Styela clava: one gene and its partner. Each later gene encodes a partner of the first gene's protein in a complex. Links are inferred from orthologs where the notes say so. Each region holds a gene or a part of one and is shown on either strand. Other genes may lie near its edges.

Region 1 (3,757 bases):
GCAGCTTGTAAACCTTATTTGTTCTTCGGTGGATAGGATTTTACATATTTCATATTTATCTCAGGGGAGAGAAAAGCCCATAAGACGGCTTAATCATACCAAGAAGTATTTTGCTTACAGATGAATGGGCTTGATGGCAAAGAAAGCTGTAACTGCCTAGTACTGTAGAAGTTACATGATCAACTATTAAGCCCGGCGGCCAATGACGCGGGGTCCACCAATCCTCCCACACATAAATGGAACCTGGGAACCCACACAGAATAATCAGAAGTGCAATGACGAGCGCATACCTAACTCTTAGCATAGTTAGCCCTCATAGATGAAGCTGTTCGATATACATTACTGGTTTTACTCTCTCCACACTCAGCAATGCATGCATTTTTTTTATCATTCAGTCATTCTCAATGATTATGTTTGTACAATGTGTACCTTCGACATGAGATGAAATAAACTACTGACTGACATAATAGGATGAACCACAACCGTAAGGTATTGTTCAGTTGTTGGCAGCACCGAAAATAATACCTGGGTTCGCAGTCGGCATAAAAAAACTAAAAAAAAAAAGAATCATAAATTCACCTCTCCAGCTTTGTCAATTGAATGCTTTTTGCGTTGTCTCGTTTCCATTTTCAATTCCTATTAAATATTCTCCAATTTAAGATGATATTCAGTAATCCAATCGTTTAAACTTTGAATCTATTGCTGCAATAAAACCAGCAAAATTCTTTGAAAAAGGACAAAACCTCAGCGACACGGAAAATGACGATTTGTTTACTTTTCAATTGATTGACAGTTAATTACTCAACCATGGCGAAGGGCGTATTTTTGACGTCATCAAGTGGCGCATAGTTAAGTTTATTTTCAATAACAAATCAGAAAATAAACATTAAAAATACGATAATATCAGCAACAATAAAAAAATAAAAATAAATAAACTGAAAAAAAAAGACTATGTAGAATTTGTGCGAGAGGTCTGGACTCTTTGACGTCGCAAGCAAGCAACCGCTACCGGTAGTCGGTTACCGTTACCGTATCCTCTACCATCAATTCCAAGCATCTGAAGCAAAATAACTGCCTAATTCAACTAAACTAATCTCATACTCGATATGGGCTGGTAACCTGACGAGAGCCCATGGTTCACCATCTGATTAGGACCAATCATACCTTTCCTCTCCCTTCGGATAAATACGAAAATCTTATCATATGCTGCATAGCGGGGGCTAGCGTAATTAATATTGATATTGCTGGTTCTTGATTGTAAATTATTAAAAAAATTATTTTAAAATATCCTATAATGAACATGTTTATACAATACAAACACTTCCGTGATTTTGTAAGATTTATTTGACGTCACTACTTCACGCACTATTGCTCTTCTGATTGACACAAAGACACGCTCTGCTTCTCATTTGCCACGAATGCACGATTTTCGGAGAGCGAATCTTGTAGATTGAGCGTCGTTTTTTGTCTGACATTGGTGAGTTTTTGAACAATTTATAAGATGGAAAAGTTGTATTCTATACCGTATTCTGTACTTCAATTACCTAATTTAAAACTGAAGAAGCCATCATGGATTTCTCAACCATCAGCGATGACCGTTTTTGCCGCTGTGATGGTGTCTTATTTTTTGGTTACGGCAGGTGAGATTTCTGGATTTTCTGTTTTTGAATTTCGTTCTAGAAGCATATTGTTAAATGCGGATGTTTTTCCGTTATACCAGGAAAACATTGTGTTGCGTTAAACTGTAATTACATTAAGGGCGGCCCAATGTCACTTTTAGACTTCACGAGGTACAGATTTAGCAATGCAAGCCATATTATAGAATTATACATATTTTAGTAACATTGTTAGTATGTCGAATTTCCTGTACATTTTCTCATCTACAAACCATGTTCTATCCATTTATTTCACACCATGTATTGTGTATTATGTAGAAATGGGTTTTATCCGATAAATAAAAATATATTGTTCAAAAGAACAAAAGAAAAAGTACACCCACCTTACGGGCTGTTTTTGTTTTAGGAATTATTTATGATGTCATTGTTGAGCCACCTAGTGTTGGACAAACTGTCGATGAAAGAGGGAACGCAAAACCTGTTGCCTTCCTGGCTTATAGGTCTGTATCCTATATTTTGAATATTCCTCTTTAATCTACACCATGAAATTTTTATAAAGTGTTTTTACACCTAGAATCTGAACTGAATTGCTGGACTCTTTTCCGTTGCAGGGTGGTTCACGTAACCGCTGGTCGGTTACAGCTTACTCCACCACGAAGTGCATCTGAAACCAATACCTGGCTAACTAATCCCATACCCGATATGTACTGGTTACCTGACAAGAAGCTGTGATCCACCATAACGGCTTTTTTTTTCTCCAGGATAAAAATGTGAATCCTATCTCATATACAGAGTCCACAATATGTCTAACTATATTACCAGTTCACATTGCCACCCAATTTGTTACACCCTGGGTATCAGTATTTTGTTTTTTCACCATACAGAAATAATGTGATGTGGTAAGCATGAGATATGTAAGCTACTTGAGATATATAACTTGGCCGTAATTCAGACCCGTTATACCCAAGATCAACACTACTCAATACGGATTCTTCTAGGGCTTTTATCATAGTCTCATTTCTGTACAAATTTTCATATTTTTGTAAATTCAAAATTTAAAATGCTCCGTCTGACTATCAGCGTAGGTCTTGTGGTAATCTGGCCTCACTCATGTGTATCATGCTTACTTAATTCTACATACCGTATTTGCTCATTTTGTAGCCTGGGCCCATATTTTTTTAACCAAACTCACTAACCGGGCCCTTATTCAAGCACGGGCGCTTTTTATTTTTAAAGTAAAATTATACACACAAATTACGGTATCTTTGAAAACAAATAGTTGACGATATCAATCCTTTTTCCATGTCAATTAATTCACGTCAAACGCACGTTGAAATGACGCACTTGGGGTTCGCGACGCCCGGTTTAAGAACCACGGTGTTACGTAATCAATGCTATCTGTTATGTAATTGGACGCCTAAGGCGTGAGTGTTATCTACCAGCGCTTAAAATTCAACAGGGTTGTGACAAAAGCCCTGTTATTTCCTATTGTTTTCTACCACTGAAAAATCAGCTTTTACATCGGGCGGGTATTCGAGCACCGGTCCTTATGTATTTTTATGTTCTGTTCACACGGGCAGCTATTCAAAGGGACCTTATTCAAGATCGGGCGTTGAAACGAGCATATACGGTAGTCCCAGTAGCTCATGAAATTTTAGTGGTTGCCTGTAACTTTGCTTACAGATAGTCTTCTTTCACTCTGGGCATTTCAGTGCCTGTAACTCTGCTTATTTTATTCTTTTTAATTTTGACAGGGTGAACGGTCAATACATCATGGAAGGTCTTGCGTCCTCGTTTCTTTTCTCACTAGGTGGTGTAGGATACATTATCTTGGATAAATCAAACGCTCCGAACATTCCAAAACTCAATCGAACCCTTCTACTTGTGATTGGCATGATTGCTGTCATCCTCAGCTTTTTTATGTCAAGAGTTTTCATGAGAATGAAGCTACCGTGAGTTGAATTTGTTTTCTTTTTACGACAATTATTCACCGTTTCACCTCGAAATAGGCACTAGGCTACATAAGCAGCCACTGTTTTCTAATGATATGTAAAGAGCTTCTTTATGCCGAGGGTCTCCATTTTTTGGCCCAAAATTTCTGTGGCCTGGGAAAACTACAAAAAAGCAAGAAATTCTTTCCG
Region 2 (3,757 bases), on another chromosome or scaffold:
CAATTAATGCTGTGTACTGGACGGTAGTTACGGTATATACAGATATAGCCTAGTTGTAGAAAGATCTGAAAACAAGATTTTGACAGCATAAAATGACATGGTGCTATTTCTCGCGCAACTAAAGAAAATGCATAGCGAACTTATTTAAGACAGAAACGCTATTGTACTATGTTCATGAGATAAATAAAATAACACATTGGAGCAATAAAAAGCTCTTGCCGTAACTGTAACACAGAGCGATTCATACAAAAACTTTCCAATTTAAAAATCAAGCTCTACGTAGGCAGAGCACATCAGCTACTTACAGAGAATCTTCAGTTGTGGTCTGAAAATTACGTATCTTGAATTAGCGCAAATTTTTACTTCGAATGACAGGTAGTACAACAAAAAAGTAGATTTGATATAATGGTAAAAAAAAATTTTTGCTCATTAAATAAGAAATATTAGTCTTATAATTAAGACGAAAGCGTTAATATGTGAAACAAATTTAATAAAATTAGGAACTCCAATCACCACATTATTACGAGCACTCTACTGCCCCAAGAGGATATTTAGGTGCTACTAAAAACTCCAATTTTGACGATAATGAAACAATTTCGTAGAATAAATCATTAAGATTCAATCAAGATTATTTTTTCTAAATTGAATTAATGTAATTTGAAATATTATTTCAATGCAGACAAAAACGCCGCAAGGGATAAAACTCCGATACGCACCAATTAGCACGCCACATCATCAAGGGAAAATAAACAAACCGGTATTTTGTCGGCGACGTCGTGGCATTTATTCGCGCCGCTGTGTTATGTTGCGGTCCCGGCTTTTTTTTGTTAGTTTTGTAATTCGCTTTAATTTTGCTGCATATATATGACAAAACTATCTTTAAATTGAGAATATGAGCTAGGGATTTTGCGTATAGGGACTCGGTAGCCGGTGGCTGCGCTATTTACTGGTATTGCAAACTTAAGTCAGTAGGTTGTATAGTTCTCTGGCTGTAATTAAAAATGCTAGAATGTGCGTTTTTGCCTTATACCGTATGTTTTCATTCAAAATGAAAAAGCAGGTTTACTCATGCTGCCATGATATCACTATATAAAATGCAGTAATGTCAGAATCTCAAAAGGGTTTGCAGACTTTTTTTGAGCCACAAGGCGGTTCAAGTTATGAGTTTGATTTCCGGTCAAATCGGAGTTGTTATAAGTTATAAAGTTTATTTCGACTCCATAATCAGCAATAGACGATAATGTGAATAATACATGTTAATTTATAAAAATATGGAATGTCTGTGGACGGAAAATTCATTTCTGTAACTAAGCACTTGAAATTTATTTCTTAACTGTTTTAGAATTAAATAACGTATTTAATATTAAAGCATCCAGAAACTTTTAATCTAAAAGTCAAAATGGGTGAGAAAATTTTGTTTTTAAAATTTTGAAATATTTTCCGGTTTTTGGGGAGTAGAAATCTGCAATTATTTTAAGCGTAAAATATATTTCTATTATTCTCCAACACTTGCATTTTGGAACTATTCAGACTAGTTTTGCTTCAATAATATATCGATGAAGCCGGAAAGTAGATAATCAGATTCTTTTTCCTGTAATCGAGATTTAAAATAAAAAAGGGAAATTTCAAATTTTGAATTATTTTTATTTAAAATTATTACAGAGGAACAGGTGTTCTTTTAACCTGCTATTTAATCATAGTCAAAAGCAATATTTCAATGTTTGTTAGTTCATAAATATAAATATATTTTTATTTTCTTTTGTAAACAGCTCTTTCAAGTTTACAGCCCTCAAAATCTTCGATCCACTTATCAACCTTATTATTTACTCTTCCTATATTGCAGGTCTCGGCACAACAAACTCGTTTATTGTCTCAACCTTTTTATCTGTCGTTGTGTTTTCATCAATGCAAGTATTTAAGGTGAGTCCGAGCTATTAATCAAATTTTGTCAATGAGAATATATAATACTGCACAATCTTCTCTTTAACAATGTTCAAACCATACTTTTCGTGGGCTTAGTTATTAACCGTTAAGGTGTAATGTATCCCTGCTTTATGAAATAAAAACAGCATTTATATAAATTCAAACGAAGCAGTGGAAACTTGAGGAGTGATCTCACACACTGAGAAATGTAGGAGATTAATCTCTTAGCAAAGTTACTGTGGCCACTTAAGTGCCAACAACTGCCGAGGCTTTAAGCCAGGGTTGCAAGTCATTGGCGGGCCGCACATATTTAAAAAAAGTTAAAATCCGAACGGATGATACTTTTTATAATAAAAATCAAGCAGTGATACATCTCTCGAACAGAATATAGATTTATTTCCTCGAATTGCATTGCATCTCGAAAAATGCCAATCGTATACTTTCGGCACCATCGAACTCTTTGCACTTAGCTTTGCCTTTTTAGCGTTTTGTTGCCATTTGTGTAATTATAATCAAGTTATAGGATCATTAAACTTGTAATTGTGAATTGTATACTTGTTAGGTTTTAATATAGGTAATTTAGTCTACACGTTGTTACTTAAATTCAGTGAAGCGTTGCGGGCCAGATTATATTACTCCAAGGGCCGTAGGTTGCCTACCCCTGCTTTAGGTAGTTCATGCCAATACAAGCAGAAAAACAGCTATGTGGCCTCGTTAAAAATAATCAAGACTGGGTTGGAATGATATACATACTTCCGCAAAGAATAACGATCATCGGTTTTTGACCAGAATAAATTTTTTATATTTTACGCATGTCATTTTTAGAAATAAGTTTACGCTAATTTTCAGGAAACAAATTAAACAAATTCCTCAACATGTTGATAAAATCTTTCTCTCTTTTCCAGGTCCAGCTTGCGTCATCAGAATGGTTTACTATCGGCGGAGGAGTGCTCGGCTCTCTTTTGTTCTGCTGCTTATTAACAGCTTGCAGTAACTTGGAAATGATGTTATTCGGCGACATGTTTCAAGCTAAATTTATTCCTGAGGTATTTGGATGCCTCGCTGCTGCATGTTTTGCGTCTGGTCTTGTTCACAGGGTCTGTGTAACAACTTGGTGAGTTGCGCTTTAACATATATTGGATTTTTCTGTTATTCTCTGTCGAATGTACTTCACAAAAATGAGTTTCCTAAAATTTTATGGTACTCAAAAGAGCTCATAAATAACGATAGCATGTTCATGAAGATGTTTAAATCTCTCTGTTACTTGTAAATATTGACAATCTAGATAAATTTGTCTCTATTGCTGCTAAATCACATGAGAGCAATACTGAAAACTTATAAAGATGTTCCCATAATTGGAAAGAAATATTTCTGCGAGAAACATGCAGTTCCTTAACAGCAAAAAATTACTTAAAACGTAATGAATAACTTCAGAAGCATTTTGAGAGTAAGAAATTATAACGTGAAGATTTCTTTGTTTCATCCTGACATCCTGTGGCTGTATTATCCAGTTTTGTGAGAAATATCTCTAAAACCAGAGTCAAGTCCAAGGTTTTCCTAACTGGGGTCCGCAAACGTCTTGGATGACTGCACTGGGGTCCAGGATGATGTGAAAAGAGTCGAAATGATTTTTAATCGAAATGATTTTAATCAAAAAGCTAGTGCATCTTTTTGTTTGAGCGTTGCGGACAAATATCCAGTGCTATCGTAGATGAAACATTATCTTTTCCCGTTGGTTAGGCACAGAAATTGATACGGCATAGGATGGTGTCTGTCAAAAATAAAACTCCCCTCAATGGCTTGAGAATCCCCATCACTGCTATAACCTTTGACC

What was found. Proteins that work in one complex are often made in the same cells at the same time.
Region 2: oligosaccharyltransferase complex subunit ostc-B-like (region 1) and dolichyl-diphosphooligosaccharide--protein glycosyltransferase subunit KCP2-like share a complex: the UniProt entries of both Drosophila melanogaster proteins name them as parts of the oligosaccharyltransferase (OST) complex. The link is inferred for Styela clava from reciprocal best matches to the Drosophila melanogaster genes CG9662 and CG31460.

The regions. Positions count from the first base shown.
Region 1 is NC_135260.1:2,438,762-2,442,518, forward strand, and holds the start of oligosaccharyltransferase complex subunit ostc-B-like, read left to right. Parts: upstream 1-1,402; 5' UTR 1,403-1,501; coding exon 1,502-1,640; intron 1,641-2,022; coding exon 2,023-2,116; intron 2,117-3,370; coding exon 3,371-3,568; intron 3,569-3,757. Other genes in the region: phosphatidate cytidylyltransferase 2-like, read right to left, coding at 580-627. UniProt on the Drosophila melanogaster protein: Subunit of the oligosaccharyl transferase (OST) complex that catalyzes the initial transfer of a defined glycan (Glc(3)Man(9)GlcNAc(2) in eukaryotes) from the lipid carrier dolichol-pyrophosphate to an asparagine residue within an Asn-X-Ser/Thr consensus motif in nascent polypeptide chains, the first step in protein N-glycosylation.
Region 2 is NC_135264.1:15,861,551-15,865,307, forward strand, and holds the start of dolichyl-diphosphooligosaccharide--protein glycosyltransferase subunit KCP2-like, read left to right. Parts: upstream 1-1,321; 5' UTR 1,322-1,399; coding exon 1,400-1,403; intron 1,404-1,843; coding exon 1,844-1,920; intron 1,921-2,828; coding exon 2,829-3,037; intron 3,038-3,757. UniProt on the Drosophila melanogaster protein: Subunit of the oligosaccharyl transferase (OST) complex that catalyzes the initial transfer of a defined glycan (Glc(3)Man(9)GlcNAc(2) in eukaryotes) from the lipid carrier dolichol-pyrophosphate to an asparagine residue within an Asn-X-Ser/Thr consensus motif in nascent polypeptide chains, the first step in protein N-glycosylation.